Stegostoma tigrinum: one gene and its partner. The protein of the gene in region 1 interacts with the protein of each later gene in a pairwise test. Links are inferred from orthologs where the notes say so. Each region holds a gene or a part of one and is shown on either strand. Other genes may lie near its edges.

The links.
Region 2: the proteins of hspb11 (region 1) and ift27 interact in binary tests that used the Homo sapiens proteins (3 or more experiments, as listed by UniProt). The two-hybrid records come from large-scale screens. The link is inferred for Stegostoma tigrinum from reciprocal best matches to the Homo sapiens genes IFT25 and IFT27.

The regions. Positions count from the first base shown.
Region 1 is NC_081361.1:41,473,809-41,485,907, forward strand, and holds the start of hspb11 (intraflagellar transport protein 25 homolog), read left to right. Parts: upstream 1-6,704; 5' UTR 6,705-6,746; coding exon 6,747-6,841; intron 6,842-7,871; coding exon 7,872-7,978; intron 7,979-8,316; coding exon 8,317-8,385; intron 8,386-8,499; coding exon 8,500-8,543; intron 8,544-11,306; coding exon 11,307-11,414; 3' UTR 11,415-12,099. UniProt on the Homo sapiens protein: Component of the IFT complex B required for sonic hedgehog/SHH signaling.
Region 2 is NC_081391.1:24,534,542-24,547,676, reverse strand, and holds the start of ift27 (intraflagellar transport protein 27 homolog), read left to right. Parts: upstream 1-8,092; 5' UTR 8,093-8,213; coding exon 8,214-8,247; intron 8,248-13,135. Other genes in the region: large ribosomal subunit protein uL3, read left to right, coding at 372-540, 791-926, 1,479-1,665, 1,955-2,115, 3,792-3,893, 3,986-4,081, 4,663-4,782, 4,955-4,999. UniProt on the Homo sapiens protein: Small GTPase-like component of the intraflagellar transport (IFT) complex B that promotes the exit of the BBSome complex from cilia via its interaction with ARL6. Not involved in entry of the BBSome complex into cilium. Prevents aggregation of GTP-free ARL6.

The DNA of each region.
Region 1 (12,099 bases):
CCACTTCTGACCTAATGATGGAGGAAAAGTCATTAATGAGCTGCTGAAGATTGGTTGGGCTGAGAATACGATCCTGAGGAACTCCTACAGTGACGTCCTGGAGCTGAGGTGGCTGACCAGCAACCAAAATCATCTTCAGGTTGCCAGCTATGACTCCAACCAGAGGAGAATGTGTCCCAATACCCATTGACTGCAGTTTTGCTAGGACGACTCGACACTCTTGTTCAAATGCAGCCCTGATTTCAAAGGCTGTCACTCTCACCTCAACTCTGGAATTTAGCGCTTCATCCATAGATACTTTAGAAACTTTTAAGTGACTCTTGGATAGGCACATGGAGGATAGTAAAATGTAGGGTATGGAAGGTAGTTTGATCTTAGGAGAATAGGTCAGTGCAACATCATGGGCCAAAGGGCCTGTACTGTTCTATGTTCTATGTTTTAAATACTGACCTGACTAGTGAAACCCACATCCCATCAGTGAATAAAACAAAACTCCATTTCCTTGGTTCTTTCATCCAGATCATTAATATATAATAAATAGCTCTGGTCCCAACACTCTCCGCTGCTGAACTCCACCAGTCACTTGTTGCCATTCTGAAAAATCCTCACTTTATCCCTTTATCTGTCTTCTGCCAATTAGCCAATACTTTATCCACGCCAATACTTTGCTCCTAACACCATGGGCTTTTATCTCATAGAGTCACAGAGTCATAGAGTCATACAGCACAGAAATAGACTCTTCAGTCCATCCTGTCCTTGCTGACCAGGTTCCTCATTATGGCTTTCCAAACTTAAACTAGTCCCATTTGCCAACATTTGGCCCATATCCCTCTAAAACCTTCCTAATCATGTACCTGTCCAAATGTCTTTAAAATGTGCATCTACCACATCTTCTGGCAGTTCATTTCACTCACAAACTACCCTCAGTGTGAAAAGGTTGTCCCTCAGGTCCCTTTGAAATCTTCCCCTCACAACTTCAACCTATGCCTTCTAGTTTTGGACTCCCTACCCTAGGGAAAGGCATTATAAAAGATTTTATATACCTCTGTAAAGTGGCCCCTCAGCTTCCTCTGCTCCAGTGAAAGAAGTCCCAGCCTGTCCAGCCTCTCCTTATAACTCAAATCCTCCAATCCCAGTAACATCCTTGTAAATCTTTTCTGCACTCTTTACAGTTTATTAACATAATTCTTTACAGCATGACACCCTGAATTGTATGTAGTACTCCAAAAGTGGCCTCACCAATGTCCTGCACAGCCACATGACATCCCAACTCCTACGGAGGCATGGGATTGAGAGTGATTTAGCGGTTTGGATCAGAAATTGGCTAGCTGTAAGTAGACAGTGGGTGGTGGTTGTTGGGAAATGTCCATCGTGGAGTTCAGTTACTAGTGGTGAACCGCAAGGATCTGCTTTGGGGCCACTCTTGTCATTTTTATAAATGACCTGGATGAGGGCGCAGAGGATGGGTTAGTAAATTTGCAGATGACACTAAAGTCGGTGGAGTTGTGGATAGTGTGTAAGGATGTTGCAGGTTACACAGGGACATAAGCTGCAGGGCTGGGCTAAGAAGTGGCAAATGGAGTTTAATGCAGAAAGGTGCGAGGTGATGCACTTTGGAAGGAGTAACAGAAATACAGAGTACTGGGCTAATGGTAAGATTCTTGGTAGTGTGGATGAGCAGAGAGATCTCGGTGTCCATGTGTATAGATCCCTGAAAGTCGCCACCCAGGGTGATAGGGTTGTTAAGAAGGCGTACGGTGTGTTAGATTTTATTGGTAGAGGGATTGAGTTTCAGAGCCACGAGGTCACGTTGCAGGTGTACAAAACTCTGGTGCGGCCACACTTGGAGTATTGTGTACTGGTCGCTGCATTATAGGAAGGATGTGGAAGCATTAGAAAGGGTGTACAGGAGGTTTACCAGGAAATTGCCTGGTAATGGAGGGAAGGTCTTATGAGGAAAGGCTGAGGGGCTTGAGGCTGTTTTCGTTAGAGAGAAGAAGGTTAAGAGGTGACTTAATAGAGACATACAAGATGATCAGAGGATTAGATAGGGTCGACAGTGAGAGCCTTTTTCCCCCGGATGGCGACGGCTAGCACGAGGGGACATAGCTTTAAATTGACGAGTGATAGATATGGGACAGATGTCAGAGGTAGGTGCTTTACTCAGAGAGTAATAAGGGCGTGGAATGCCCTGCCTGCAACAGTAGTAGACTTGCCAACTTTAAGGGTATTTAAATGGACATTGGATTAACACATGGATGATAACGGAATAGTGTAGGTTAGATGGGCTTCAAATTGTTGCACCGACCTGTGAAACCATCGAGGGCCGAAGGGCCTGTACTGCGCTGTAATGTTCTATGTTCTTGCCTTCATTGGTCAGACCCTTGAGTAAAGTGTGCCAATGTCTTCATCACCACCAAGTCTACCTGTGACACCACTTTCAAAGAACTATGTACTTGAACGCCTAGGTCTCTCTATTCATCAGTCCTCCCCAGGGCCCTACCATTAACAGTTTAAGTCCTTCCCCAGACGGTCTTACCGAAATGCAACACCTATCTAAATTAAACTTCATTCGCCACTCCTTGGCCCATGGACCCATCTGATCAAGATCCTGTTGTACCCTGAGATTACCTCTTTCACTGCTCAGTATTCCACCAATTTTGGTGTCGTCTACAAACTAACTAACCTTGCCTCCTATATTCTCATGTAGATCATTGTACAAAAAGGACAAACAATAGTGGGCCTAGTATTGATCCTTGCAGAACACCGCTAGTTAAAGGCCTCCAGTCTCCGAAACAATCCTTCACCACTACTCTCCGTCTCCCACTGGCAAACCAACTTGTATCTAATTGGCTATATCTCCCTGGATCCCATCCAATCTAACTTTATTAACCAGTCTATCATGTAGAACTTTGACAAATGCCTTGCTAAAGTCCACGTAGACAACATCCACTACTCTGCCTTCATCTATCCTCTTGGTCATGTCCTCAAAAAGCTCAGTTTTGTCAGACACAATTTCCCATGCACAAAGCCATGCTGGCTATCCCTAATCAGAGGCAGCTTGTCAAAGGCCTATTGATCCAAATAGCTCATGTCCATTGGCTCTCCTTTGTCAAACTTGCTCATTAGTTCTGCAAAGAGATTTGTCAGGCATGACCTCCCCTTAAGGAAGCCATGCTGACTCAGCACTTCCAAGTACACTCAATCTCATCCATAACAACGGGCTCTATAATCTTAAAAAAACGACTGAGGTCAGACTAATCGGCATATAGTTTCCAGTCTTCTGCCTCCCTCCCCTCTTAAACAGGGTGTTATATTAATCATTTTCCACTCCTCTGGCACCCTCCCTGACTCCAATGATTCCTGAAAGATCACCACGAATGCTTTGGTCCAGGTGATTAATCCACCTTCAGGCCTTCCTACATCTCCAGCATCACTTTTCAGTGGTCCAACGTCCATTCTTGCCTCTCTCTCTTAGCTACATATATCTAAAAAAAACTCTTGCAATCTTCCTTTATATTACTAGTTAGTTTACACTCATATTTCATCCACCCGCTTTTTTAGTTATACTCTGCTGGTTTTAAAGACTTCCCAGGATAATCTTCACCCATTGTATATTACTTCATTTGCTTTTATGCTGTCCCTGACTTCTCGTCAGCCATGGTTGCTTCGTAATCCCCTTTGTATGTTTCTTTTTTCTAGTGGGCTCTACCACAAGCTGCTCCAACAAAAACACCTCGTAGACATTCTGCAAATTCCTTTTCTTGAGATCCACTACCTATCTGATTTTCCCAGTCCACCTGCATACTGTAGTCCCCCATGATTATTATAAAAAAAGTAATTTTCTTACATGCATTTTCTATCTCCTAGTTTATTTTCTTCCCCATATCCTAACTACTGCTAGGACATAACTCCTATTTGGGTCTTATTTCCTTTGCAGTTCTAACCACACAGATTCTACACATTTCAACTCTTTCTTACTTCTTGCTATCAATTTAATTTGACTTCTCACTAACACGGCAACGCTGCCCCTTCTGTCCATTTGCCTGTCCTTTCAATAGGACATGTTTCCTCAGATGTTTAGTTCCCAGCCCTGATCCCCTTGCAGCCATGTCTCTGTGATGCCCACTACAATGCACCCATCAATTTCAGTCTGCACTACAAACTCATTTATCTTGTTTCATATATAGCGTTTATTGAAGTATGACACCTTCGGTCCTGTGTCGACTGCCCCCTTCTCATGGCTGTCTCCTTATCTGCTGTGCCTGAAGTTAGATTTTTAACATGTTCCATACTCTCTCCTTTTACTTGTTCTGAAAATTTTACTAACCTCTGCTGAGTCCTCCCTGCTTTTAACTTTTTCCATGCAACTGAACCCACCCTCCTAATAATTAGTTTAAAGCGCTGTCCACAGCCCTAGTTATGTGATTCTCCAGGGCTCTGATCCCAGCATAATTCAGGTGGGAGTCCATTCCATTGGAACAGCTCCCTCCTTCTCCAGTACTGGTGCCAAAGTCCTATGAATTCAAACCCGTTTCTCCTATACACCCAATCTTTGAGCTACGTGTTTACTTCTTTAATCTTGCTCACCCTATGCCTATTCCCTTGTGGCTCAGATAGAAATCAGAGATTAACTTTTGGTTCTACTTTCTAATTGAGCCCTTAAGCTGTTCATATTACCTCAGCAGAACGTCTTTCCTCTTTCTACCTATATGGACCATGACAACTGGATCTTTCCCTCCCACTCCAAGTTCCTCTCCAGCCAGATGAGATACCCGGAACCCAGCCAAGTAACATAACATTCAGGACTCTTGATCCTGAAAACACAGAAATGGCTATTCCTCTGGCTATACTACTCTTGATTACAACTACTTTTCTTTCTTCTCCCCCCTCTGGAATGGCTTCCTGTACCACTTTGGTCAGTTTGCTCATCCGCCCTACAGCCCCCACTCTCATTACACAGGGAGCAAGAATCTCAAACCTGTTAGATAAGCTCAAGGGCTGGTATCTCCAGCCTACCTCCTGGATTCCTCTACATGCCTCACTTGTCATCACGTCACCCTGTTCTTGACCGAATTTGAGGTAGTTAATCTAAGGGGCGTGACTGCCTTCTGAAACAGTGTCCAGGTAAATCTACCCTCCATGATGAGTTGCAGAGTACAAAGTTCAGATTCCAGCTCATCAAAAAGAAAAAGGGCTTGCACTTGGGGAGAGCAGATTTTAGTAAAATAAGGCAAGATATGGCCAAGGTAGGCTGGGAACAACTACTATTGGGGCACGGGGGGACATGCACAGGAGATTCATCAAAGTGCTGCCTGGGATGTAAAATTTAAGTTTGAGGAAAGGTTTGATAGGCTTGCATTGCTTTCACTGGAGCAGAGAAGACTGAAAGGTGGTCTGATTGAGGTCTACATAATTATGAGGGGCATGGACAGAATGGATAAGGAGTAGCGATTCCCCTCAGTTAAAAGGTCAGTGACAAGGGTATACAGGCTGAAGGTGAGGAGGAGGTTCGGTGGAGAGTGCAAATGAAAGGAAAAACTTTTTTGGCAACAGTGTGTAATATGCTGCCTGGGTTAGTAGTAGAAGTATGGTGTCTCAAATTCTTTAAAAAGTACTTGGATGAGCACTTAACAGGTCATAGCATTCAAGGTCACGGTCAAGAGCTCATCAATGGGATTAAGTTGAAGATCAGGTGTTTCTCATGTTTCGGTGCAGACTCAATAGGCCGAAGGGCCTCTTCTGCACGGTATGATTCTATGATGTTAACTCTGAGCCACAGTTCCTCAAGCGACCAACACTTGCTAGAGATGTGGTCACCATGAACCATTATAAAACATAAATTTCCAAAACCAGACATCAAAATTTGTAATGATAATGTTGGATTTAGACAAACCCATTTGAGAAGTTTAGGTCACCATGCAAAACAAAGAAAAAAACACTAACCTTTAAATGTATTCTATTGTAATCATCTAGTGTCTTTTTTCAGGGTCAAATTACCCCCTGAAGACATAGTTTTTTACAAGACAGTCAAAACAAACGCTTTCATCAGAAAACAAACTGTATTCCACCAACATTAATTTAAATGTCACATATTACCCATCTCTAATGGAACTAGAGTGGCGTGTTGCTTCATGTGCATAATCTCAGTTATTTCTCTTACCTACAATCAATTACATGATAGAACAACATACTAACATCCTTAAATTTCTTACTGCTTAAAATTCATATCAAGCTAATTTTAAACTTAACCACTAAAGTATCTCCAGTGTTGAAAAAAAACACTCATATCTCCTTGGGAGAGGGACAGGCAATACAAAATCCGGATGAGTCCAAAAACAATTCATTCAGCAACTCACTAGGACAATAGAGTCAGGCTCTTCTATCCTAGATTAATATCTCTCCCAGCTCTCACAAGTGGCTGCAAATGTCACATCCTGAAAATGAGGGCTGGGGAGGAAACACTTTCCCTTAAACTTCTGCCCACTTATTCCACCGAGTCCAACACTTACCCTGGCTGGTCACTGCTAGTGCCTGGCTGTAGCCACAAGGATTCCCAAATGAGCTGTAAAACTCACCAAACTACTAAACCTCCTGTTTCCCAGGAGGGGAGCACGGAACCATAACGCAGAAAATTGAGGGAAGGTGATTATGGGAAGGACCGGAAGTCACCGCCGGTCACGGGGGGAGTATATGTGAAGGACCGGAAGTGGCGGGTTGCTGTAGTAACGGCCGGGGAGGTTGACATGAAGCGGGATTTCGGTTTGACGGTGGCGGGGACGCAGGTTGTGTTGGCGGCGTCTTCAGATGAGAAACACCCGCCGGAGAACATCCTGGACGGGTGAGGATCTTCAGCTTGTCCGTGCGGTTGGCGAACAGGATCGTCCCCTTAGATAACACAGCATTGCGTTGATATAGCGCCTGGCGCGTGCCCTACACCTTGAGAATTTCTAAGTACCCATTGCCCTGCGAGAAATCCTATCAAAGTTGGCTGTTCGTCAGCTTTTTATTTTAGTTATGAAATGGTTGCGTCGACAGTCTGATGCTATTACTTCAGCTCCATGCCCGGATTATGCAGTAAAATGCCTCAATTCTTTGCAGAACCAGTGTCGGGTGGTAGAGGTGGAATTCTCGGCAGAAAGGTAGTTAGATCTATCAGTGAGACTTCTTTCACGGTCAAAAGCGAACACCCCTGCTTTGGTAGAGGTTGCAATATAGCCTAGTGATAAAAAGACCTTTTATTTATATGATAACAGTATGGAGCTGGAGGAACGCGGCAGGCCCAGCAGCATTAGAGGAGCAGGAAAGTTGACGTTTCGGCTCGGGACCTTTCTTCAACACTTTTCACAACCACCAGCTTTCTCAAAGTGTTTTCCAGCTAACTAAGTCCATTGAAGTGTAGTTACAGTTGTAATTCAACATTTAACAGCAGCTAATTGTACGCATTGCAAGGTCCCACAGACAGAAATAACCACAGATTATCTGCGGTTTTGAGAGTGCTAAGTATTGGACAAGATAACTAGGTATAATATTCCGGCTTTTCAAATGCAAGTGTCTCCCCTCCCACTCTGATTAAAGGGAGATTGCACCCAAATGAAAAATGTAGCAAATTTTATCCCAAGAATTGCCAGATTATAGTCCAGAAACTTTGACTGTTTTCCTTTTCTCTTACCCACTATCCAATGCTTGGGATTGTTTTATCAAATTCAAGGTGCTCTATGAATGCAAGTCATTTTCATCTAGGCTCGGCACGAAGAACAGTCACCTGCTAGAACTGGCTATCTATGATACTAATGAGACACAGATTAGAAAAAAAGATGAAAATTCAATAAACAAAAATACCAAGTCTCATACTGTACTTCTGTTCACAGTAATACAGAATCATTTTGGATTACAACAGGAATGTTCCCACAAGAATTTATCCTAAGTTTTGCTAATCTTATAAAAATTAGCTCAATGAAAATTCACTGTTACAATGGTAAGATTTTTGCTGCTTTTTAATTACTATATTTGAATATACTAATGATTTACTATGATAAACAAGCTACTTTACCTCGTTCCATATGGATCAAAGAATAAAGTGCAATGAACAGTAGTTCTTAATTATTCATGATCTTTACCAAGCTTTTATGCATGACTTTGCAAATACCTATTCAGTTTTGAGAGGAGTATATTTCTAGCTATATTTCAGTGTAAATGCATGAGTAAACATTGAACTATCTTGCAAAATTCATGAGAATAAAGTAAGACACCATCTACTCAAAATAATTGTAAATGTTCCAAAAGTAATAAGTTTTTCTTGGTTTACCATTCCAGTGCGTAACCTTGGTATTGAGAGAAGTATAGCAAGAGATCCTGTAGATTTTGAACCATTGAGTAACAATGGTAAGTGTACTCAACAAATATTTTGATAATATTGCCAAGATTGTTGTTGAAAATAGTTGCTTCCGTTCCATTTCTTTTGATGGTTTTCATCCTGTTGTGCTTACTTTTTACCAGAACTTGAGCGCTCTGAGGAACAGCTTCAAGTAAAGGAATTTACAGTAAGTAAATTCTACAAAAAGCTGAGGTAACATATTAGGTATGAAATCATTATAGGTCAGTTCCTCCCCAAAGTAGTATTGAATAGTGTTGTAGCGGTTTGATTTCCCCATTTCTACTGAAGTTTTTGATCTCTATGGTGCTGTTGCAGCAAGCTTCTGAGCGAAGGACAATCACTTTCCCAAGTTGGAAAATGAGGCCAATTCAAATAATGTACACGTACACATTATTAAATTTAACTAAGTGGTTCAAAATAATATTCATTATTTTGGGAATGCAAGGTGCACTGTGACCTAGTTTGCTAAGTAAAATAACATAACAATTCAAGGGTCAAAAAAGGGTAGAGACTTTAATGAATTATAAATACTAGCATGGACTGGGTTGACCAAATGGTCTGTTTCTTGCTGTATTGCTAACATTAATGCCACTCAAATAAAAGGCAATGACTTTCTCCAGCTGGAAATAATCTAACCATCGTCCCTTCACATACAGTGGCATTACTTTGGCTTCACATTGGGATTACCCATCATCGTGTTATGCGGCATTATCACAATGCCAAAATGGGATAGACTTAAACAGACCTAGCAACTCAAGTTTGGCTATTCATAAGGTGCTATGGGCATCACAGCAGCAGAATCTCCAACATAATCTGCAACCACATGACCCAGCATACCCCCATTCAGTTATTACCATCAAGACAGGCGATCAACTCTGGTTCAATGGAGTGTGCAGGAGCAGCACCAGCCATACCTAAAAATAAGTTGTCAACTTGGTGAAACTAAGTAGGGCTACCAAACGGCATAAACAGCAAGTTGTAGGCAGCAAAACTATCCCACAATCAACTGATGAGATCTAAGCTCCACTGTCCTGCAACATCCAATCATCAGTGGACAATTAAACAACTCATCGGAGGAGTCATCTCCAGAAACATTCCCATCCTCAATGATGGCAGAGTTGAGCACATCAGTACAAACAGTAGGGTAGAAGCATTTGCAGTAATCTTCAACCAGAAATATTGAGTGGATGATCCATTGTGGCCTCCTCCAGTGGTCCCACATCACAGATGCCAGCCTTCAGCCAAAGAAATGTTTGAAGACATTGGATACGGCTAAGATTCCAGGCCCAGACAACACTTTGGCAATAGTATTGAAGAATACAAAACTTGCCGTACCATAGCTAAGCTGTTTCGGTTCAGCTACAACACCGGCATTTCCCCAACTGTTTGGAAAATTGCCCAGATATGTTCTGTACATAAAAAGTAGGATAAATCTGACCTGGTCATTTTCCAGCCCATCAATCTATTCTCGATCATTAGTAAAGTGATGGAAGGTGTCATCAACAGAGCTATCAAGCAGCACCTGCTAAGCAATAATCTGCTCAGTGACGCCCAGTTTGGGTTCTGTCAGGGCCAGTCAGCTGTTGATCTCATTACAGCCTTGGTTCAAACGTGGTCAAAAGAGCAGATTTCTAGAGGTGAGATGAGAGTGACCTCAAGACTGCATTTGACGGTGTGGCATCGAGGAGCCCTAGCAAAACTGGAATCCATGGTAATCGGAAGTATGAAGGCAGCTCACCATACCTTCTCACGCACAACCAGGGATGGGTAATGAATGATGGCCAGCCAGCAACACCTACGACCTACGAATGACTAAAATAAATCCCCTGCTTCCAACATTGTGAAGTTGCCATTGACTGGAAACTGAACTGGACTAGTCGCATTAAACTGTGAGTACAAAAGGAAGTCTGAGGTTAAGAATGTGACAGGTAAATGACCCCAAACTCCCCAAAATCTGTGCACGATCTATGAGGCACAAATCATGTGATGGAATACTCCACTTGCCTAGATGTGTGCAGCGCGAATAACTCTCAAGAATTTCTTCCCAGGATAAAATATCCAGCCTGTTTGGCATCCTATCCACCAACTTACTTATACACTGCCTCTCTTACTGATGCAGAGTGTTAGCAGTGTGTGCTTTCCATAAGGTGCGCTGCACCACTCACCAAGGTTCTTTTTACAGCACCTACCAAACCTGCAACTTCGAGCACTTATGCCATGGAGAGCAAACATGTGGGAGCACCACCACCTGCAAATTCTCCTTCAAATCATAACTAACCTGACTTGGAACTAACATTGCCATTCCTTCATTATTGTACATCTCAATCTTAGTACTCCCTTCCCGCTGTGTCTACCTAGCCCCATGGACTGCAGTGATTCAAGACAGCTGTCATACTTTAAAGGGCAAGTAGATGGGGACAATAGATGTTTATTTTTAAATTCATTCTTGAGATATGAACATCATTGACTAGGCCAGTATTTTTTGCCTATTCCTAATTACCCAGAGGGCATTTAAGTAATATCCACATATTACTGTGGATCCAAAGTCACTTGTGGACAAGACCAGATAAGGGCAGCAGATTGTCATCTCTCAGGGTCATTAAAGAACCAGATGGCTGTTGTCAATTGACAGTGATTCCATGGTCAGCATTAGGCTAGCTTTTTATTGAATTTAAACTTCATCTGACAAGGTGGGTTTCAAATCCATATCCCCAGAATATTAAGCCTGGTTTAGGAGTCCAGTGATGTTACCACTCTCCCACAGCCTCCCCTCAAAGGCAGTTTAGTCAGTAATGCCCAAATTCTGTAAATCAGATAAGAAATCACATTATATGATGATATACATCTTGAAAATTGTGTTCTGAGTTGGGCATGCACTAACCTTTTCAAAAAAAAAAGTGTGAATTAATAAATTATATTCTCTATATAGCAGGATGAAACTAGAGCTACACATCTACGATTTATCATAAAGTCTGGTTTTGATCACTTTGTGTCAGTACACAAGGTTACAGTGGAAGGTACAGAGGAAGATGCCTGAGTCTACACTGCACAACTCTTGCTAACAGGACTTGATGGAACATTGATGTTGAGAAAATCTAACTAGTGTACATCCATCTACAGTATATTTATTATAAACCATAATTAGTGGATTGTTATTGTGAATAAATTATTTTGGTTTTGTAATACTGTGCAGTCTTCATTGGTAATTCCTGAAAGTACTCTTGATTAACATCTGAATGAACCATGAGAACTAGTACAAGATCTTCCTGTTTCACTATTGAAGGATTTTTATCTGACATGTCACTTCTGGATCCACCATCAGTATGTGCACTGTACTTTATTACTGTCCACTCTCTTATCATTCTGCCATTCCATGGCCGTTATTTATTGGTCAGCCAGAGGTTTGAACCAATATTTAAATCTTTAGAATAAAGGCATGTCAATAGTTTCTTTACACATGGAATGCACTGCCAGCAGTGGTAGTAGAGTCAGATGCATTAGGGACATGTAAGCGGCTCTTGGATTGGAACATGGATGGTAGAAAAATGAAGGGTGTGTGGGTTAATTTTGATTTGAGGAGGATAATAGGTGAGCACAACATCGTGGGCCGAAGAGTCTGCACTGTACTGTTCTGTTCTATATTCTAGTTATAACTTGGAATCAATGTGGAGCATTAACTGTAACAAATATTCCACTCCCTTAGAGGTAAATAGAGTTCTTCC
Region 2 (13,135 bases), on another chromosome or scaffold:
CACCTGTGGTGCTTTTGCTGAATGTCGAGTATGCTGACTGTAGTGCAATGAAATGGGTACACTTCTTGAATATAATTGTTCCTCAAATGATGCCCTCAAACAAGCTTGCTAATTGTTTTTGTCCCTACACCAAAACATGAAGCTACTGTTTGCATGTTGAAAGTCTCTCCCAGTGGGTACGCTCGGTCTATCTGTTCAAATTTTCTCTAGCTTGGGTACCTGGTTAAACCAGCCATGCTGTGCTAATTGTATTATATTAAAGCAAAATGCTGGCACTACTCTGCTCTGACAGCATTTGCATAGAGAAATTCTCAATATGTTGGGTTCATGGGTTTTTTGTCAGAATGTTAATTTTTTTCTGAATTTCCTAGAGGTGAACAAGAAGGAGGTGGTCGAAGCAGTCACTGTAATTGAAACTCCTCCAATGGTAATTGTTGGTCTTGTTGGCTACATTGAGACTCCCCGTGGTCTCCGAACCTTTAAGACCGTCTTTGCTGAGCACATCAGTGATGAATGCAAGCGTCGATTCTACAAGAATTGGTAAATATGTCACATAATTCCCAAATCTTACAGTTCATAAAGATGATGCGGAAAGGTGTTAATCTGGATTGAATAATCAGCAGCTCCGCTCGACTATGGCAACATAGGTCGATGAGCTCCAGGCTCTGAATGTTGGAGGAAAGTGTCCTTTTGATCCCAACAATGAGCCGACCTGCTTGGTGCTGATTCCTTCCGCTCACAATTGTGTGATGAAGGGTTGCGCCAATGTTCTCTTCTCTCTATATAAAAGGTACAAATCCAAGAAGAAGGCTTTCACCAAGTACTGCAAGAAATGGCAGGATGAAGATGGCAAGAAACAATTGGAGAAGGACTTCAACAGCATGAAGAAATACTGCCAAGTTATTCGCATCATTGCTCACACACAGGTAAGCACCAAAGCTGAATTTGAAAGGAGGCTTGGGTACGGAAGCTTCTGTTTGCGATTTCTGGCTTGCTACCTTTTTGTTTGTTTTGGATTTTAATACCTGTTAAATTACTTCGGGATACTCAAACTTTTGTTTCACAAAATCTTAATAATAAGGCCACTTGATTTAGTGTTTTTTTAAAAAAATTTAATCCCCATGTCATGTCTTCAGGGGACAAGCCAAGACCATAAGTTTGTGTCAGGTTTTGTGGATGGTGTAGAGTGTTGTTTCAGCCCTCTAATTCTGGGAGAGTTGCATATCTATTCATAGGAATGGTTATAGTGAAACATTCCAACCTGCTTCACAGAAGTCTCCTGTAAACGTATTTGACACCAAGCCATTCCTAAAGAAATATTAGGGTGAGTGGAGGTGATTTTGAAGGCCGTCAGTTTATTTTAGGCAAGCAAAGATGTGCTGGTAGTGGTGGAGCAAATTGACTTGATTAACAGAGGGAAATATCCCACTCATGTTGGCTTGTTCTGATTTGTTCATTGGAATGCTTCATCTCCACAGATGCGCCTGCTTCCCTTGCGTCAGAAGAAGTCCCACATCATGGAGATCCAGCTGAACGGTGGGACAATTGCTGAGAAAGTTGATTGGGCAAGAGAGAAACTGGAACAGCAGGTTTCTGTTAACCTGGTGTTTGGTCAGGATGAGATGATAGATGTCATTGGTGTTACTAAAGGCCATGGCTTCAAAGGTATGGAATCTGTGAATCAGCTGCTTAGTTGGATGGGTCTCAAATGATTGTATTTTGTTTATGTGCATAGGTAATATGCCTTTTTAATGACACTTTTGTTGACCATTGTCACACTTCACTGTTGGAGCATTCTGTGATGATAACATGGAATATATGTTGGTAACAGCATCTGACTCTGATGAGGAGCCATTCCATGCTGCCTTCCTTCTGAGATCTCTGTTTCAGGAGTAAATGAAGAATTGTCAACATCTTGGGTATTCACTAATTGGTCTGTTCTCTGCCTCCCCAGGGGTCACCAGTCGTTGGCACACAAAGAAACTGCCAAGGAAAACTCACAAGGGGCTGCGTAAAGTTGCCTGTATTGGAGCTTGGCATCCTGCCCGTGTAGCTTTCTCTGTTGCTCGTGCAGGTCAGAAGGGATACCATCACCGTACAGAGATCAACAAGAAGGTAAGCACTTTAAAGTCAGTGGGTGTGGAATCACAATTGTCTAGATTGGATCAGAATGGCTGTTGCCCCTCCCTAAAGGATGCTAGCTGGGTCTCCAGTCCAAGTTTATTCTTAATGTGCATTTCTGAATTCACAATGTACAGGAGCAGAATTGGGCTGTTTTGAGTCAGCTCTACCATTTGATCATGGCTGATATGTTACTCAGTCCCACTTTCCTGCCTTCTCCCTGTAACCTTGATCCACTTAGTAATCAATAACCTATCTATCTGCCTTTTAAAGACACTCAATGACTTGGTCTTCATAGCCCTCTGCAGCAATGAGCTCCACAGATGAAATATCCTGCATCTGAATAAGTTCCTCCTCTCCTCAGAACCTAAAATAGCACAGCACAAGAATGGGTCCTTCAACTCTCAATGTTGTGCCAAACATGCCAAATTAAACAAGTGCCTTTTCCCTGCTCTTGGTCCTGTAACTCTCTGTTCCTTTCATTTTCATGTATTTATCTTAAGAGTTTCTTAAATGACCCTATCATATCTGCCTCCACCACCATCCCTGGCAGTACATTCCACACTCATACCACTCTTGTCTGTCTTTTTAAAAGACAACATACCTGTCATCTCTTTTTGAACTTTGCATTTAAAAGGCAAGAGGGGCATTGGCTCTAGCATTAGACATTTTGAAGTCTTGCGAGGGAAAATGGTACGTACTGACAATCAACCCTATCTCTGCATCTCATAATTTTATAGACTTCTGTCAAGTCTCCCTTCAGTTTTTCTAGCCTCCTTGTAGTTCAAACCCTCCAATCCAGGCAGTAACCTGGCAAACCTTCTGAAACCGTGCCAAAGCTTCAACGTCGCTATTGTCATGTGGTGAGAATTGAATGCAATAACATTTTTGGTTCAGTGACACTTACTATAAAGCTGTAACATGGCATTCTAACTGGTACTCAAGTTTCCTGGCTAGTAAAGGCAAGCATGCCATATGCCTTTACCACCCTATTTTACTTGTGTGGTCACTTCCAGCGAGCTAGGGACTTGAACCCCAAGATTCCTCTGTCTTAGTTCTCAAGAGTTGCCTTCACGCTTAAGGTTGTGCCCCTGGGTCCTAGTCTCCTACTAGTGAAAACATTGCCATATCCACTCTATCCAGGCCTGGTATTCTGTTTGTTTCAATCAGACTCCCCCTCATCCTTGTAAACTCCCAAGTACAAACCCAGTGTTCTCAATTGTTCCTCATGACAAGCCCTTCATTCCTTAGATCATGGACCCACTCCAAGGTCAGCACATCCTTCCTTTGGATATGGGGCCTAAAACTACTCAGTGTTCCAAATGTGGTCTGGCCAGAGCTGCCTTCAATGTCAGGCGTACATACATGCTGTTGTATTCTAGGCCACTGTAAATGAATGATAACACTGCTTTTACCTTCCTAACTGCCAGCTGAACCTGTCTCTTAACCTGAAGAGAATCCTGAGCAAGAGCCAAAGCTGGGGTTCCAGGTTTCTTTGCAAATGGTGCTGTTTTTTTTTTTGGTCAGAATGACTGACCTCTCAATCCTTAATTACAGTACATTCTCAAAATTGCTTTGCCTGAAATAGAAATTCTCACACCTTGTCTCTGAATGCGTTTTACCAGGTTTCCTTAAAATGTGAACTAAAACTCAATTCTTTACCTTTTTAGATCTACAGGATTGGATCTGGTTACCAGACCAAGGATGGCAAGCTGGTGAAGAACAATGCTGCTACAGAGTATGACTTGACAGACAAGAGCATCAACCCACTAGTGCGTTTTTAGCAAGCTATAAATGACATTCCAAATTGTAGTTCATGTCATTCTAAGACTGTTGTGCTAACTGCTGTTTTCAATCTCATCAGGGAGGATTTCCTCACTATGGTGAAGTTACCAATGATTTTGTAATGGTGAAGGGCTGTGTTGTTGGTACCAAGAAACGTGTGCTTACGCTGCGTAAGGTAACTACTTGTTATCTTAATATGAATACATAGTCAATCTTCCCCCCTCGGTTAAAGATTGTAGCTGCCCTTGAGCATTTTCAGCTTTCCCCATAGATGGCCAATACTCTGCATCATTAACTTACCATGAGAAATGGGAGTAGGAATACACCTGTCAAATCTACTGTAGAGTTCACTGACAAATGTTGATCTTTAGATTTGACTGCACCTTTCTGCCAACTCTCCATATCCTTTTGGTTGTCAGAGACAAAACAAACTTGCCATTGAATATAATTTAGTGGTACCCCTGGGATGCTGAGTAGCTCTGCAGGTAAAAGCAACACTACTAGGCCCATAGTGGCTTGTTCCTAGGTAATAGTGTGCATACTGCCATTCAGTCTCTGATCAAGATGCTCTGTAGATGCATGATTGTGACAAAGGCATGGCTAATGTATATCCATCTCTGGTCTCCAGGTGAGATGCTATTCCTGTTCTAAGTTGGTGTGCAGACAGCCCATGTTTCTGTCTCCTCCACCCACCCCACCCATAGTTTTAAGCTGGTTGTGGTACAGAATATTAAACTGTAATGTTCAACCCTGCAGTCCCTATTGGTGCAGACAAACCGCCGTGCTGTGGAGAAGATCGACCTGAAGTTTATTGATACCTCTTCCAAATTTGGTCATGGCCGCTTCCAGACCCTTGAGGAGAAGAAGGCATTTATGGTGAGTGATAAATTAATCAGTGCAACTTTCCTGTGGTGTGCCTTCAGATTTTGTAAATTGACTTGCACAAGACTTAAGAACTGTTTTGTAGTTGCAATGAACACATGTTGGGGTTTTTGTTTGAAACTGCCTTGCCCAGCTCTTTTTGATATTGGTATTGTTTTGTTTTCAGGGACCACTGAAGAAGGATCGCATTGCCAAGGAAGAGGCTGCATAAACCATGGACCAATTATAACATTGTTCCAGTGTTCAATAAATACCTTTTTTAAAGAAAAGACCATTTTGGTGTTCTGTGTTCCTACAGTCCTGTATGGCAGTCAGGATGTGATTTGGTTAAATTCTGTGCTACTTTATTGACACTACTGCTGTGGCTTCTGTTTCCCTTCCCATAGTTATCAGACTAATACCTTGACTCGGTGGGTTGTGTTGAGGCATGGTTGGATTACCTGTGGGGTGTTTAATAAAGTGACTGGATTTGAAACAATCCTGACATCCCTTGATGGAGTTGATGTGGCAATGGGTTTTTTCTCTCTGGGAAAGATCTAGAACTAGGGGTTTGCCAGTTTAAAAAGGTGAGGCAGTATCTATCTTGAGGGTTGTGTATTTTGAACTCTCCCTGAAGATGTGATGGAACTAGAGTTCATCGAATATTTTGAGGCAGAAGTAATTCTTCAAGCAAGGCAGTGAGAGGTTCAGCAGGAATGAAGGTTTGAGATTGTAATCAGCTGTGAACTTAGTCCCTTGGACCTGCTTTGCATTCTATGTTCATATGTCTAAAAGCGCACAGCGTACAAGCTGAGAGTTTGCTTCTGTTATCCTTTACCTGCATGTAGGCTTTATTAGCTTTGCAGACTACGGGGCTGAGGCACTGCCAATGGAAAGGAAAGGGGTCATCTGGATAGTAGAGATATTGGCAAGGTAGGGTGCAGGGTTTAAACCCTAAGTTGAGGCCTTGAAGTAACTTCTAATCAGGGCATTGCTTGACACAAAGCCAGCACAGGCCAATGATACCATAAGTTGGTATATGGGATCTTTGCCCAAACAATGCCATCTGCTACTAGCTCACTGAGACAGGATGCATGAGCCAAAATAAGCCACTTGGCCCGTTGACTCTGCCATTCAACTTGATCATGGCTGATCTGATAACTGTCCCATTTCCTGACCTATCCCCATAACCTTTCATTCACTTAATGTTTAGAAATCTGCCCACCTCATCCTTCAACATTGTTGCCAACATAGCCTTGAGCCCTCTGCAGTAAAGGGGTCTCCAAACTAAATACCCTTCAGGTGGGATGGGCAGAGAAAATCATCCTCTGGTCTTTGGGTGTCACGTCCTGATCTTTGCTTCTCACTGGTGAAATAACCTTTCTGTATCTACTTGGTCAAGTATCTTTAAGAAACAAGCCTTTCAGCAGTAAGATCACTTCATTCTCATGATATTGGTACGTGCTCAACTTGCCCCTCCAGACAAGTCTCTCCATACCTGGAATCAACAAAGTGAACCTTTTCTGGACTGTCTCCAATGCCTGGTATACATTGGATAAAGGGACTAAAATTTGTCACCTGTGGTCTGATCATTGCCCTTGGTGTAGTTTAACTAGATACCTTTTTTCCTTTTAAAAATAAATGGGCATTCTCTTTGCTTTCCCTACATGCCAGCTTTTTGTGATTCAAATCAAATGTGAACAATGTTGGTGTTATGATGCCTTGTGATACTATGAAGACCTTTTTTAAAATCTACATCTTTGACAGGTCACCCGAAGCTTATGTCATGGTCATTTTTGTTTGTAGTTCTGTTAGCTAACTAAACATCCCAAAGTACTATGTAAATGTTACATAATGCATTTGTCACAAGTTGAGATAACACTGGAGCTGGCTGAACACAGCAGGCCAAGCAGCATCAGAGGAGCAGGAAAGCTTGACGTTTTGGGTTGGGACCCTCCTTCAGTCCCGACCCGAAACATCAAGCTTTTCTGCACCTCTGCTGCTTGGCCTGCTGTGTTCATCCAGCTTCAGTGTTATCTCAGATTCTTCAGCATTGGCAGTTCCTATTATCTGTCACAAGGTGAACTTGGGGTTTGGGGAATTCACTAGATTTGTTATTAGAACATAGAACATAGAACAGTACAGCACAGAACAGGCCCTTCAGCCCACAATGTTGTGCCGACCATTGATCCTCATGTATGCACCCTCAAATTTCTGTGACCATATACATGTCCAGCAGTCTCTTAAATGACCCCAATGACCTTGCTTCCACAACTGCTGCTGGCAACACATTCCATGCTCTCACAACTCTCTGTGTAAAGAACCTGCCTAAACGGTGAAAACTTGTTTTGCATGCTATCCAGGTGAATCATACTTGGACATGAGTAATTGTAGGATGAAGCACATAGCTGATTTTTAAAACATGAGAAATGATATCTCTTTTGAAGAGTGGTGAATACTGAGATATTGAGTAAATTTGATGAAATACTTTGGTAATGGGTTGACAGGTCGGGGGAAATGGAGTCAAGATAGACCAGCGGTGATCACAGTGCAGGCCTGGGACTGAGAGCCTAGGTCTGCTCTGAGTTCTCAATTTGTAATTATTGCAGGAGTATTTTACTCCAACAGAGATTTAGAACTTCCCAGCATGGAAGCTATAAAATATCTGAAAGTAATAAAAAATAAATTGCTGGGCTCTAGACTGGCAACTGTCCTTCCCCTCACTGATGCTGCCATACGTTCTCCAGCATAAAATGTGAGGCTGGATGAACACAGCAGGCCAAGCAGCATCTCAGGAGCACAAAAGCTGACGTTTGGGGCCTAGACCCTTCATCAGAGAGGCTTCTAAGATGCAGCTTGGCCTGCTGTGTTCGTCCAGCTCCACACCAGCAGCTGCAGTTCCTATTATCTCTGAACACATTCTCCAGAACTTTGTTTTTGTTTCACAGCATCCATACTTCTGTTTTATATACTTAAGTTTTTTTTTGCTATCTGAGAAAAGAATATTCTCGTAGGTTCACCTATTTATCCGTTTCCCAAAAAAAGTTTTTAAAACCTGGCATTGTTATCACAACCTCAAGATACTGTAAACACGTGGATATGCTGAGCTCCTCGCTTAACGTCACAGATATCCAATCACTTTGGACGGCAGTATGACGGACGGCCTCTAGACCAATTACAGCGTGAGGACACCTGATTGGCATCCCAGACGCTCAATCATGTAGCAGAGGGTTGCGACGGACGGCGAGTTGGCCAATTAATATCGGGTACACCGCCCACGGGGCCGGGACCAATGAGAGGAGGCGAGAGGAAGTTGCTAGGGCGGTGTAACCAAGGAGGCCTGATGGCGGTTTGCGGCCTAAAGTGAGGCCTGGAGTAGGAGCCTCCAGGTTTATTGTCGATGGAATGAACCGGTTCATGGGCTTCCGAACCGAGCAGGAGGAGACATGGTGAAACTACGAGCTAAATGTGTGCTCGCAGGTGAGTGAAGGGTGCTGGCAGGACATTACATTTTAGAAGCGCCGACCCCGTCCCTGAGTGGCTCCGGTGCCAGAGCGAGCGATTAGTCACAAATTGTGTTAATCCCAGGGCAGCGGTTAAACAGCGAACAACAAAATCACAACTTGGCCTGTGTGTGATATCAGCGCTCCCTCAGTAATGACCCTCCGACAGTGCCCACTCCCTCAGCACTGACCCTCCGACAGTGCCCACTCCCTCAGGACTGACCCTCCGACAGTGCCCACTCCCTCAGTAATGACCCTCCGACAGTGCCCGCTCCCTCAGTAATGACCCTCCGACAGGGCCCACTCCCTCAGTAATGACCCTCCGACAGTGCCCGCTCCCTCAGCACTGACCCTCCGACAGGGCCCACTCCCTCAGTAATGACACTCCGACAGGGCCCACTCCCTCAGTAATGACCCTCCGACAGGGCCCACTCCCTCAGTAATGACCCTCCGACAGGGCCCACTCCCTCAGTAATGACCCTCCGACAGCGCCCGCTCCCTCAGTAATGACCCTCCGACAGGGCCCACTCCCTCAGCACTGACCCTCCGACAGGGCCCACTCCCTCAGCACTGACCCTCCGACAGGGCCCACTCCCTCAGTAATGACCCTCCGACAGTGCCCGCTCCCTCAGCACTGACCCTCCGACAGGGCCCACTCCCTCAGTAATGACACTCCGACAGGGCCCACTCCCTCAGTAATGACCCTCCGACAGGGCCCACTCCCTCAGTAATGACCCTCCGACAGGGCCCACTCCCTCAGTAATGACCCTCCGACAGGGCCCACTCCCTCAGTAATGACCCTCCGACAGCGCCCGCTCCCTCAGTAATGACCCTCCGACAGGGCCCACTCCCTCAGTAATGACCCTCCGACAGGGCCCACTCCCTCAGTAATGACCCTCCGACAGGGCCCACTCCCTCAGTAATGACCCTCCGACAGGGCCCACTCCCTCAGTAATGACCCTCCGACAGGGCCCACTCCCTCAGTAATGACCCTCCGACAGGGCCCACTCCCTCAGTAATGACCCTCCGACAGGGCCCACTCCCTCAGTAATGACCCTCCGACAGGGCCCACTCCCTCAGTAATGACCCTCCGACAGGGCCCACTCCCTCAGTAATGACCCTCCGACAGGGCCCGCTCCCTCAGTAATGACCCTCCGACAGGGCCCGCTCCCTCAGTAATGACCCTCCGACAGGGCCCGCTCCCTCAGTAATGACCCTCCGACAGTGCCCGCTCCCTCAGCACTGACCCTCCGACAGTGCCCGCTCCCTCAGCACTGACCCTCCGACAGTGCCCGCTCCCTCAGCACTGACCCTCCGACAGTGCCCGCTCCCTCAGCACTGACCCTCCGACAGTGCCCGCTCCCTCAGCACTGACCCTCCGACAGTGCCCGCTCCCTCAGCACTGACCCTCCGACAGTGCCCACTCCCTCAGTAATGACCCTCCGACAGTGCCCGCTCCCTCAGCACTGACCCTCCGACAGTGCCCACTCCCTCAGCACTGACCCTCCGACAGTGCGGCACTCCCTCAGCACTGACCCTCCGACAGTGCCCACTCCCTCAGCACTGACCCTCCGACAGTGCGGCGCTCCCTCAGCACTGACACTCCGACAGTGCCCACTCCCTCAGCACTGACCCTCCGACAGTGCCCACTCCCTCAGCACTGACCCTCCGACAGTGCCCACTCCCTCAGCACTGACCCTCCGACAGTGCCCACTCCCTCAGCACTGACCCTCCGACAGTGCCCACTCCCTCAGCACTGACCCTCCGACAGTGCCCGCTCCCTCAGCACTGATACTCCGACAGTGCCCGCTCCTTCAGCATTGACCCTCCGACAGTGCCCACTCCCTCAGCACTGACCCTCCGACAGTGCCCGCTCCCTCAGCACTGACCCTCCGACAGTGCCCACTCCCTCAGCACTGACCCTCCGACAGTGCCCACTCCCTCAGCACTGACCCTCCGACAGTGCCCACTCCCTCAGCACTGACCCTCCGACAGTGCCCGCTCCCTCAGCACTGATACTCCGACAGTGCCCGCTCCTTCAGCATTGACCCTCCGACAGTGCCCACTCCCTCAGCACTGACCCTCCGACAGTGCCCGCTCCCTCAGCACTGACCCTCCGACAGTGCCCGCTCCCTCAGCACTGACCCTCCGACAGTGCCCGCTCCCTCAGGACTGACCCTCCGACAGGGCCCGCTCCCTCAGCACTGACCCTCCGACAGGGCCCGCTCCCTCAGGACTGACCCTCCGACAGGGCCCGCTCCCTCAGCACTGACCCTCCGACAGTGTGGCACTCCCTCAGCACTGACCCTCTGACAGTGCCCACACCCTCAGCACTGACCCTCCGACAGTGCCCGCTCCCTCAGCACTGACCCTCCGACAGCGCCCGCTCCCTCAGTAATGACCCTCCGACAGTGCCCACTCCCTCAGCACTGACCCTCCGACAGTGCCCACTCCCTCAGTAATGACCCTCCGACAGTGCCCACTCCCTCAGCACTGACCCTCCGACAGTGCCCACTCCCTCAGCACTGACCCTCCGACAGTGCCCACTCCCTCAGCACTGACCCTCCGACAGTGCGGCACTCCCTCAGCACTGACCCTCCGACAGTGCCCACTCCCTCAGCACTGACCCTCCGACAGTGCGGCGCTCCCTCAGCACTGACCCTCCGACAGTGCCCACTCCCTCAGCACTGACCCTCCGACAGTGCCCACTCCCTCAGCACTGACCCTCCGACAGTGCCCACTCCCTCAGCACTGACCCTCCGACAGTGCCCTCTCCCTCAGCACTGACCCTCCGACAGTGCCCTCTCCCTCAGCACTGACCCTCCGACAGTGCCCACTCCCTCAGCACTGATACTCCGACAGTGCCCGCTCCTTCAGCATTGACCCTCCGACAGTGCCCACTCCCTCAGCACTGACCCTCCGACAGTGCCCGCTCCCTCAGCACTGACCCTCCGACAGTGCCCACTCCCTCAGGACTGACCCTCCGACAGTGCCCGCTCCCTCAGCACTGACCCTCCGACAGGGCCCGCTCCCTCAGGACTGACCCTCCGACAGAGCCCACTCCCTCAGCACTGACCCTCCGACAGTGTGGCACTCCCTCAGCACTGACCCTCTGACAGTGCCCACACCCTCAGCACTGACCCTCCGACAGCGCCCACTCCCTCAGCACTGACCCTCCGACAGCGCCCGCTCCCTCAGTAATGACCCTCCGACAGTGCCCACTCCCTCAGCACTGACCCTCCGACAGTGCCCACTCCCTCAGTAATGACCCTCCGACAGTGCCCACTCCCTCAGCACTGACCCTCCGACAGTGCCCACTCCCTCAGCACTGACCCTCCGACAGTGCCCACTCCCTCAGCACTGACCCTCCGACAGTGCCCACTCCCTCAGCACTGACCCTCCGACAGTGCCCGCTCCTTCAGCACTGACCCTCCGACAGTGCCCGCTCCCTCAGCACTGACCCTCCCACAGTGCGGCACTCCCTCAGCACTGACCCTCCCACAGTGCGGCACTCCCTCAGCACTGACCCTCCGACAGTGCGGCACTCCCTCAGCACTGACCCTCCGACAGTGCCCGCTCCCTCAGCACTGACCCTCCGACAGTGCCCGCTCCCTCAGCACTGACCCTCCGACAGTGCCCACTCCCTCAGGACTGACCCTCCGACAGTGCCCGCTCCCTCAGCACTGACCCTCCGACAGGGCCCGCTCCCTCAGGACTGACCCTCCGACAGAGCCCACTCCCTCAGCACTGACCCTCCGACAGTGTGGCACTCCCTCAGCACTGACCCTCTGACAGTGCCCACACCCTCAGCACTGACCCTCCGACAGTGCCCACTCCCTCAGCACTGACCCTCCGACAGTGCCCACTCCCTCAGCACTGACCCTCCGACAGTGCCCACTCCCTCAGCACTGACCCTCCGACAGTGCCCACTCCCTCAGCACTGACCCTCCGACAGTGCGGCACTCCCTCAGCACTGACCCTCCCACAGTGCGGCACTCCCTCAGCACTGACCCTCCGACAGTGCGGCACTCCCTCAGCACTGACCCTCCGACAGTGCCCGCTCCCTCAGCACTGACCCTCCGACAGTGCCCGCTCCCTCAGCACTGACCCTCCGACAGTGCCCACTCCCTCAGCACTGACCCTCCGACAGTGCCCGCTCCCTCAGCACTGACCCTCCGACAGGGCCCGCTCCCTCAGGGCTGACCCTCCGACAGAGCCCACTCCCTCAGCACTGACCCTCCGACAGTGTGGCACTCCCTCAGCACTGACCCTCTGACAGTGCCCACACCCTCAGCACTGACCCTCCGACAGTGCCCACTCCCTCAGCACTGACCCTCCGACAGTGCCCACTCCCTCAGCACTGACCCTCCGACAGTGCCCACTCCCTCAGCACTGACCCTCCGACAGTGCCCACTCCCTCAGCACTGACCCTCCGACAGTGCGGCACTCCCTCAGCACTGACCCTCCCACAGTGCGGCACTCCCTCAGCACTGACCCTCCGACAGTGCGGCACTCCCTCAGCACTGACCCTCCGACAGTGCCCACTCCCTCAGCACTGACCCTCCGACAGCGCCCGCTCCCTCAGCACTGACCCTCCGACAGCGCCCACTCCCTCAGCACTGACCCTCCGACAGTGCCCACTCCCTCAGCACTGACCCTCCGACAGTGCCCACTCCCTCAGCACTGACCCTCCGACAGTGCCCACTCCCTCAGCACTGACCCTCCGACAGTGCGGCACTCCCTCAGCACTGACCCTCCGACAGTGCCCACTCCCTCAGCACTGACCCTCCGACAGTGCGGCGCTCCCTCAGCACTGACCCTCCGACAGTGCGGCGCTCCCTCAGCACTGACCCTCCGACAGTGCC